Linked DNA regions of Rattus norvegicus. The protein of the gene in region 2 interacts with the protein of the main gene of each other region in a biochemical or structural test. Links are inferred from orthologs where the notes say so. Each region holds a gene or a part of one and is shown on either strand. Other genes may lie near its edges.

The links.
Region 1: the proteins of Nsf (region 2) and Napa form a complex in vitro, tested with the Homo sapiens proteins (2 studies listed by BioGRID). The link is inferred for Rattus norvegicus from reciprocal best matches to the Homo sapiens genes NSF and NAPA.

What each region holds. Positions count from the first base shown.
Region 1 is NC_086019.1:85,913,536-85,918,439, reverse strand, and holds the start of Napa (alpha-soluble NSF attachment protein), read right to left. Parts: upstream 3,006-4,904; 5' UTR 2,961-3,005; coding exon 2,863-2,960; intron 1-2,862. UniProt on the Homo sapiens protein: Required for vesicular transport between the endoplasmic reticulum and the Golgi apparatus. Together with GNA12 promotes CDH5 localization to plasma membrane.
Region 2 is NC_086028.1:89,354,079-89,358,804, forward strand, and holds the start of Nsf (vesicle-fusing ATPase), read right to left. Parts: upstream 3,306-4,726; 5' UTR 3,260-3,305; coding exon 3,248-3,259; intron 1-3,247.

The DNA of each region.
Region 1 (4,904 bases), on a different chromosome or scaffold from region 2:
TCAGTCCCTATGGTGCACAGCAGAGGAACAAGAGGAGGTAACGGGTATCCAAACTCTCAGGCAGGTATGCCCACCAGCAAGGGAAGGGCTAAAAAGGCTTTGACCTTAAACTAAATGGTGCCTTAAAGCCCCCTAGTGTCTACCAGCCCACAAATCCAGAAGTGTGAAGATGGGTGAGAATAGCCTACTTGACCCGTGTAACCTGAGCAGAGGCCTCTTAACTTGGCAAGCCCTTAACACAGACATTCCATAGAGCAGAAGAAGCCTTGGTGAGCAGCTGGGGAAAGGCTGCTTGTCAAATGTTTACCAGGCAGCCCCAGTGGTGGGCCAGAGCAGGGCCCACCTGGTGGTGGTTTCTCTCCAGGTTATCTCAGGGTACCTCCAAGGACCCTGAGTTCCAGTGGGCCTTGCTCACTTCCCTACCTCCTCTATTCTTCCTGGAAGGACCAGAAGAAATGCACCTGCTCCTTCAAATGTTTGTAGAAAACTACTGTGGGGGCAGGCAGCAGCCTAAGGGAGGTAGCACCCCAAACTAGTCTGCCAACACCCTCCCTACATGTAGTGCCCACAAGCAGGCCTGAGTGTCTGGGACTCTCTGGGTGTCAGAGGTATCAGACTAATGGAGGGGGGACTATAAGCCTACATGGGCCAGGTCTGACCACCTGGTGCCTCCTCAGCTTCCTGTGCTGCTAGACAAATGAATCAAGTTTAGACTGCTCCCTTTATCTTTTACCCACCTCCACAGTGATCTTGTGGGGACTACATAAGGCTGACTGCCTGGCCAGGCAAGGCTGGGCAGTAGCGTGAACAACTGGCAGGCATGATCCACTATCACTGTAACAGGGTCCCACATACTGTCCCACAACCAGCTGTTGTGGGTTTTGTTTTTTTTCTAAAGGGTAAAAGAGGAAGTCATTTTAACAGGCCCTCACTAAAATCCTGCAGGCTCCCCAGTACCTCAACTCCAAGCCCATACTCACAGTCCTCATCTATGTCCAGCCTCTGCTCCCCCCTTTTCAAGTCACAGTCTGACTTGGAATTCTGCCTATGCTAACCCTTCCTTCAGCAGGCAGGCTTCTGGGCCCTTTCTCAAGCTTGTCCTTTCTGCTGCTCTCCAACTGAGAGACCTGAGATCTCCTGCTCAGCCCTGGGATGGAGGCTCATCCTCTAGGAAGCCATCTCTGTCCCTGTCCTCTACATTCTGGGCAGAAGCTCTTTTGCACCAGAGCGAGCTTCATTCCCACCATCCCTGCAGCCTAGACTGCCCTCCCAGACCACTGTTCTCAGCCTCACTCCTCACCAAAAACCTCCCTCAAGTTCTCAAAGTTTCTTTTCAGCTCGAGAACTTTGTGTGTGTGATAAACTGGCCTTTACACCCCACAGTTCTGCTCTATCAGTGGTTGGGAAGTGGTAAACAGGGACACACAGCTGCTCCCTTGGAGCAGCCAAGTATACACTTATCTCTCTGGGCCAAAGAGACCAGACTCTGAGCCATCAGGAAAACTACTGATGAAAACTGAGTTGGAGGTGCCATCCCACTACCATGCCTCTATACACACACACACACACACACACACACACACACACTCTCTCTCTCTCTCTCTCTCTCTCTCTCTCTCTCTCTCTCTCTCTCAAATGAAACATTTTCATCTAACTGACACAGCCTGTCACTAGCCAGATGTCTCAGCAGCAGGTACAAACATTTTTCAAGTTCCTTTGATAAACATTATCTAATGTCAAACAACAAAAGGGTAGCCTCATCCTCTCCCCCACTTCATGTCTTTCTGTCCTCACCCAGCTCCTAACAGTCTCTCCCAGAACCCAGGGCTTTTCTCCCAGCCTTCCCCCAACTTCCTAGGAGTCTTCTGTCTTCTTCAATCCTTGTTTCGGAGGCTTGATTTTGTGTCCTACCCTGAGCACAGCTCTTCCTCGACACCTGCTTGGACCTTTCCCCAGTGCTCCTCTCTGCTTGTTCCCTCAGGAGTCTTGCCTGCTCCCATGCAGTGTCGTCTCCCCTTACCCTTCCTACACCCCAAGGCTCTGCTCTATCAGTGGTGGGAAGTGGTAAACAGCTGGCCCTCTCCTCAGAGCTCCTCAAGCTCTCCTGTCCTACCATCTTGGTCTCCCCACCAGCATCTTACACTCTCTGACTCTGCTTCTTCCTGGCTGGTAAGCCTTTCAGAGGGCTCAATTCTGAGCACATTATACATAGTTCATACTCACAACAAACTTCTGCAGTCAGTTAGTTTTTACCAATGAGCCCTTTCAGGGAAACGTACTCCCCTAAAATAAAGAAACCTCGGAACTACATCCCAAGCATGGGTTCTTCTGCTCCCAAGTTAATATGGCTGAAGATGTCGAACTTGCATAAACTTTGTGTGAGGTACCTGCCACCTCCTGGGTGTGTTCAGACCCCAGACTTGAGGACCTCTACCCTACTCTGATTCTCCTGGTTGCCTCATCCTCCCATAGCCATTTCCTTGACCAAACCAGTGTCACTGTCTGTTTATGGCTGCCCCCCCCAACCCCCAAGTTTCCACCTCTCAGTCCAGGTCTCCTTAGTTACTTGCCATCAGTCACTCTCAGCAGGAAGCCACTACCCTCACACCTCGTACTCCGGCTCATCATGCCCAGGGTCGCCCCAGCCCGGGTGCCCTCGGTCTGGTGTCCTCACCCCGGCAGCCTGGGCCGCACAGATCCACGGTTACCGGCCTGGGAAAGGCGCGGCTACCATTCAGCCACAGGGCCGTCAGCCACAGGGCCACCCTCAGAACCTGCAAGGCCGCAGAGGGGCTCCCAAAGTGCAGAGAGCAGAAGAGCCCGCTCTTCCCCGCCTTGGGCCCAACCTCGCCCGCTGCTCACCCAAAGAGGCCGGAGAAGAAGGACTGCGAGTTCTTCACCTTGCGCTCCGCTTCAGCCAGCAGCGCCATAGCCTCAGCCTGCTTCCCGGAGGTGTCCATGACGTCGCGCAGCTGCTCGGTTCAGGCCCGACACAGCCAAGCTACGACTCACAGGCCCGGGACAACGCGCACTCAGCGGAGCTCCGCCCGCTACGTTGACGTCACCCGGGTCTGCTATCCCACGTGAACCGTGAGAGCCAACCAGAGGGTTCAAGCTGCGAAGCACTCTCGTCCCGGCACGCCCCTCCGGCTACCGCACTCCGCACCTTGACCCGCAACACGTGAGCACACGCCCGAGGTCTGACGCTGCTAGCCTCCTAGAACCCTAGAGCGCACTGCCACGTGACACCAAGTAAGCCAATCATAAGCTCGCACCGCCAAGTGCCAATTTCTCCCCCACCCCCCACAAAACGCGACCTTTGACTCCTTCCAACCAATCAGCAGGCTCCATAGATCTGTTCCGCCACGCCTCGGCGGAACTGGGAAGCACTGATCAGCTGACCAGTTTCTCGGCGCTCACGTGACGCCTCAAGGTTCGTTCTCGAGGTTTGACAGACCCAGCAGTTTAGTTCCACCTCCTGGTTCACTTTACGTCTTAGTCACTTGGGAGTAACAGCTTTGTAGTAAAAAAGAACCTTCTAACTCCCTCTGGCGATCGTCTCTAGAATTGGCTTGCGGAGTCCAGAAGTTCTCCATTTCTAGCTGGATGGCTCAGCTGCTAAAGGCAAGTTTAACAACTATAGTTCGATTCCAGGGACCCACATGGTGGAGGCTGAGAACTGACTCCTCCAAACTGTTCTCTAACCTACGCACACAACGCGTTTAGAATATTTTGCAGTGCCACACACAGAATGGCACTGGATACCCAGACCCATGTAAAAAGCTGGGTGTGTCAGCGTGTAGCTGTAACAGGAATGGGTGAGTGGGAGACAGGCATATGCCTGGAGCTTGCTGGCCAGCAAGTCTGGCAGAATCAATGAGCTCCAGGGTCAGAAAGAGACCTGGTTTCAAAAAATAAGATGCAGAACAACTGAAGAAGACTCCCGACATCAACCCCTGGCCTACACATTAAACATTGTTAAAAATTAGTGAAAAAAAAGTCTAAATAAAGCATGGGCAGTTATTGATAGTGGTTCAGTAGCTGTAGTAAATACACTACACTATAGTAAGAGCAACATCTTACTATAAGAGAAACTGGCTATGTGAGAACTTTTGGTACTATGCTAGTTTTCTGTAAATCTCGTTATTCTAAGGCCCTGTGCACAGCGATTTCAGTCCCAACAGTGTGCTGTGGTGCAAGAATCTGTATTTCTTCTTTACTGAAGTTTACTGATTAGCAGAGAACATTTGAGGAAAGTGTTATGTGAGTTGAGTGTTGGGGGTCAGGAAAAGGCAAAAGACATCTCCCCACCCCCACCTCCTTCCCATTGAGCACTTTCCCAAATATACCTGTGCTCCCGACTGTGCTCTGACCCCGGAGCTGGTGAGTCTGGAGGGCCACAAGCAGTTATGGTTCCCCTTCCATTTGCTGCATGGTCTCATCTTTTTGGAACAATGAGCTGTGCAGCAATAGATGACTATATACCCTCAACCCATAAGGCCAGCTGCTTCCACTCATGGAGTTGGGTCCTTCAGGGTAGAGCAGTGGAATGCTCACTGCAAAGCAATGCTCATGTCACTGGGAATGCCCACCAAGAAAAGTGCATTTCCTCATTTACCCACTACACACATTGGGAAAAAATGTTCAGGTAGGAAGGAAGAGAGCCATTCTGGTTCCTGGGCTGCCCTGTACCCCTCATTTCCCTCAAACAGGATGTCTCAACAGCTCCAAAATCAACCCCCACCCCTGCTGCCTTCAAGCTTTAGCTGAGATGTTGAGACCCTTTCTGTAGTGCTGGGATGGGGCCCTGGAACACAGGAGGCAAGGCATGGCTCTTGCAAGTTGGGGTTCGTATAGATGTCTCTGACCTGATATGGCATCATTCTGACAAGGCTGCCTGCTGA
Region 2 (4,726 bases):
CATGGTGGAAGGAGAGAACTGACTTGTACAGTTGTCTTTGCGCTCCACACGCGCCACGGCATAGATGTGCATGCTCAGAAGCATATAAATAGATATAAAAACAATAATATACTTTCACCTTTGTACTGTAAGTGCTTGAAAAAAGAATAAATTCATATGCATTAGCAGTGCTTTCAGGAACAAATTTTTTTTTCTAAAATGTATCACCCTTGACGATTCTTCTTAAATCTCTACCAAACTGATGCACAAACACAAGTGAATGCATAAAGCAGAGGAAATGAGTTAACATCTAGCACAAGTATCTACATGGTCTCATAAAGTGGACGTAAAAGATAACACTAACGCTTCATTTTTGAGACAGGGTCTTATTCTATAGCTCAGGCCGGCCTAGAACTCAGTAAGTACACTGGACTGGCCTCAAACATATAGTGATCCTCCTGCCTCTGTCTCCCAAGTCCTGGCATTCCAGGCATGTGCCAACACACAGGATACAGCATACTAACATAGTTACAATAAGAAAAAAGATAAAGCTGTGAGAGAGGGACACAGGTCTTCAGGGCAGAATAACAAAGTATCCCGACTTACAGCTAGAGATCAGAAAAGGCTTCCCAAGCCTTCTCTGAGTAGGAGAAAGAAAAGAAAGAGCCCAGCAAAAGACCTTGTGGAAAGAGAAACAACCAAAGCTTCGAGGCATCGAAAGGCTTATATAACCTGAGCAGACAGTGAAAGTGAGCGGAGAGAAACAGAACAAAACCACAAAGAGCCTTGAACGCCTTGTTAAGTATCTGATCTTGCTCCCAACACTAACCAGAGGACCGGTTTAAGCAGTAAGGGACTTGGGAAGAATAACCAGTGTGGAGGGTGGAAGAGGGACAGAATGCCAAAAGGAGGCTACTTGGAAACTTCCTGCAGTTATCCAGACCAGAAAGAGAAAAGGGGATGGAGAGGAGGACGCAGAATGGTTAGCTGATGGGGGAGAAGGTTACAGCAACAGCTGCGACTGATTCCAGTATCGAGGACGGCTTAAAGCAGCAATGCTCCCAAGCCTACCTTCTCTGGGCCCTGATTAAATCCTTCATTTTCTTTAGTGTGCAGGTAGGAAGATAGTGATGACTTGTACAGGGGATGGAGCACGGGGATGTGGCAAGAGGGACAGACAGTAGGGATGGGAAAGGCTTCTGGAACCAGTGGAAAGCAGGTAGGATGGTTCACGTCTGTAATCCTGAGTCAAGAGACTCCACGGAAGCTGGAAAGCCAGCTAGCTTGGCATAGGCAGGGGCAAACAACAAAAGAAACCCTGTCTCAAGCAGGGTGCGTGGCAAATATTAACTCAATGTTGTCCTTTGACTGCCACATGTGGTTATGCGTGTACCCCTGCCCCCATACACATACCCCATACCCGTCAGGTGAGGATGCCATTCAGTGAAAGGAAAACAGAAAAATTACCAGGTAGGTAGGCTTAGATCACAGCTTTGAGTTTAAACTAGAGTTCAAATAGTCTTCAATTAGTATTTATTTATTTATTTAATTTGAGTCAGTGTCTATGTACTCCTGGCTGTCTTGGAACTCACTATGTGGGTCAGTCTGGCCTCAAATTGTCAGAGATCCTCCTGCCTCTGCCTCAACCTCTGCCTCTACCAGGGGTTAAAGACGGGTATTCATCCTTGTTCTTGATTTCAAATAGCCACTTTTACACATCAATTTGGAATTTAGAGGGCAGTTCTGTAGAGGAGGGGTGAAATCTTGAGAACCTCAGGCATGCGGACTGAGCTTTGGCTCAGAAGGGATTACCTGAGGAGATAAAACAGAGTGTGGGAATTGAATGACAGGGTGGAGGGGTGAGTCTGCAAGCGAGATGAGTCAAAACAGTATCGAGGCATCACAGAAGCCATGGACCAATGTCTTCCATTAAGGAGGAGACAGGCAACAATGTCAGATGCTCTGAGACATCAAGTATAACAAGGATCGAAAAAAATGGGCATTCATTTTAGGGATGCGTTTCAGTCTCACTGTGGTGGGTCAAGGAGGGAGCAGATGGTAAACAAATGAGAGACAACACACGCAGAAAAGCACCAGAATTTGTCACTCTAAAATGGGAAGAGGAAAAGTGACATCTGTGGGGGCAGAGGAAGGGTTTAAGGGACCAATGCATTCCAGAAGGGCTGATGATTCAGAAGAGGGGCTCCTGAGGAGGCAAAAATAGTCCCTAAAATACAGTTAGAAGGGCCAGCCTGAGAAAAATGGGGGGTTATGAGAAAAGAAAGAGAAAGAGATGAACCCAGACCTGTGACCTCTAAGGTCTCTTTGGGACTCTAGAATCGCATGACCTACAATTCTCTTTAGACAGGACATTTGCATATATGCATACATGTATGCAAACTTATTAAAATATTCAGGTGAAGTAAATCAGTCAAGCACATCGTTAGTCTGTAATGACGCAGTTAACGTCCCCAGGTTTCAAACAGTTTAATCTCTGGGCAGGATCCATCCATCAGAGCTCTTAGCTCTGATGCATATTGCAGTAACAGCAGTGACCTGGCCCCATCTCTCCTCATCAACCCCAATCTTACACCACGGTCCTACAAGCTTAAGGAGGAAGTAAAATGTAAATCCCTGAAGCTACAACACAGCCTGCTGCATTCGAAGCGACTGTCATTTAGAAAAACAAAACGTGACACCCCAAAACCATCTGCACGAAAGACATTGCTGCTGCTTCACTCGACAGTTGATAGGTTTCTCCCCAGGGGATGGTCTGAGGTTGGCTGTAAAAGTAATTTGCAGCCCCCACTCCTCTTTTCATAACGTCGTTCATTTAGGAAGAACGAGAAATGGGTTCCCACACCCTCGCCCTGACTGCAGCAGACTACACCCCGCGGTTATCCGGCAGTGCCACCTCAGAAACCCTCGGAGGAGTGCGGAGGGCACTCAGCGCTCGTCAGAAGGGGCTCCAGTGGCCACTACCCTCAAGGTGCTTGGAGGACGAGAGAAACGAGCCCCAGGAATGGCAAGGGAGGCACGAGAGACCCGGGGGACGAAGAGACAACCCTCGGGGAGGACAGAGTTTCTGAGCAGAGCTAATCCCCTGCCGCAGTTGCCCTGCCTCGCCTCCAGCCTTGCTCTGACCTCCCTTCCTTCAGCGTCTCTGGGTGCTCAGCCTCGCGCCCCTTCCCCGGAGCCCGCGTGGACCTCGCAGCTGTCCCGACCCGGGCGATCCGCTGTGAGCCCGGGTTACCCAGCCGCCACTCACCCGGCCCGCCATCTTCGCGGACACGTCCTGCTCCCAGGCTGCAGCTCCGCACTCTGCTGAGCCCGCCCCCGCCGCGCGCGTGCCCGCCTGCAGCCCGCCCTCGCGCAGGCGCGCAGCCGCCGGGAGGCCGCGCCCGCGCCCAGTCGCGTCCCCGGCGCCCTTCCCCAGGACGTGCGCGCGCGCACGGGACGAGCACCGCCATTTTGGCTGAAGACAAGCTAGCCGGCTCACCCTGTTTCCACAAAGCCATGTCAGTTGACCACGTGGCTTTAATGGAAAGCCAATAGCCAAAAGCTGGTTCTGAATTCGGATTCTCTTCGATCCCGAACTTTGCAGGCACACGAGTTTTGAAAGTGAATCATAATTATACATGTTTTAGCTTTATGGTTCGTTATTTTCACTTATAAGCACAATTAATATCTTTTTAAGGCTTTTTTTTTTATGAGCATTGGTGTTCTGCCTGCAGGTCTGTGCCAGATCCTCTTTTTTTTTTTTTTTTTTTTTTTTTCCTTTTTTTCGGAGCTGGGGACCGAACCCAGGGCCTTGCGCTTGCTAGCAGATCCTCTTTTTTTTAAGATGTATTTTTATGAGTATACTGTAGCTGTCTTCAGACACACCAGAAGAGGGCATCAGATCCCATTACACCATGTGGTTGCTGGGAATTGAACTCAGGACCTCTGGAAGAGCAGTCAGTGTTCTTAACCGCTGAGCCATTCCTCCAGCCCTGCCAGATCCTCTTGAACTGGAGTTACAGATAGTTGTGAGCTTCCATATGGGTGCTGGGAATCGAATTTGGGTATCCTAAAAGAGCAGCCAGTGTTCTTAACCACTGGACTATCTCTCAGCCCATACAATCTATATCTTTCATAGTCTTTTTTCCAGTATTGTTTCATTATTAAAGTATTCTGAGAATAAAATTTGCCCTAGGTTCCGTCTGTATATGAGGAGATACTTGTGTGTTTGAGCCAGAAGATAAGAAGACGTCTTCCTCGATCATTTGTCCACCTTATTTTTCAAGACTCGATCTCTCACTGAACCTTAAGTTCATCTCCTAGACTTTGCTGGTTAGCAATTTCCGGGGAATCCTTCTGTCTCCACCTCTATAGCACTGAGATTACAAATACCTGCTGCTGAAGTCACGGGTGCCAGGTATCCTGACTGAGGTCCTCCCCTACTCCAAAAGCACTTTATCCTAACGCTCAGCCTTCTCCCCAAACCTGAGTTCAGTCTTAACCTCCATGCTGCCTTCCATCACAGCATCTCTTCACCGGAATCTCAGAGGGCCTAACATCAGGCTGTAGGAAGAAAGATTCTACATTAGATGCTTGTTCATGTTCCTTTTTGAATTTTGCCTGAGACAATAAGGAATGTTAGGGTTTTGCCTTAATTTCTCATTGAAGAAGATGAGGACATGACTGCTCCAAGGTTAATGAGAAGGATTTTGTTGGAGTTGTGAGGGAGAGCATACAGACTGAAGAC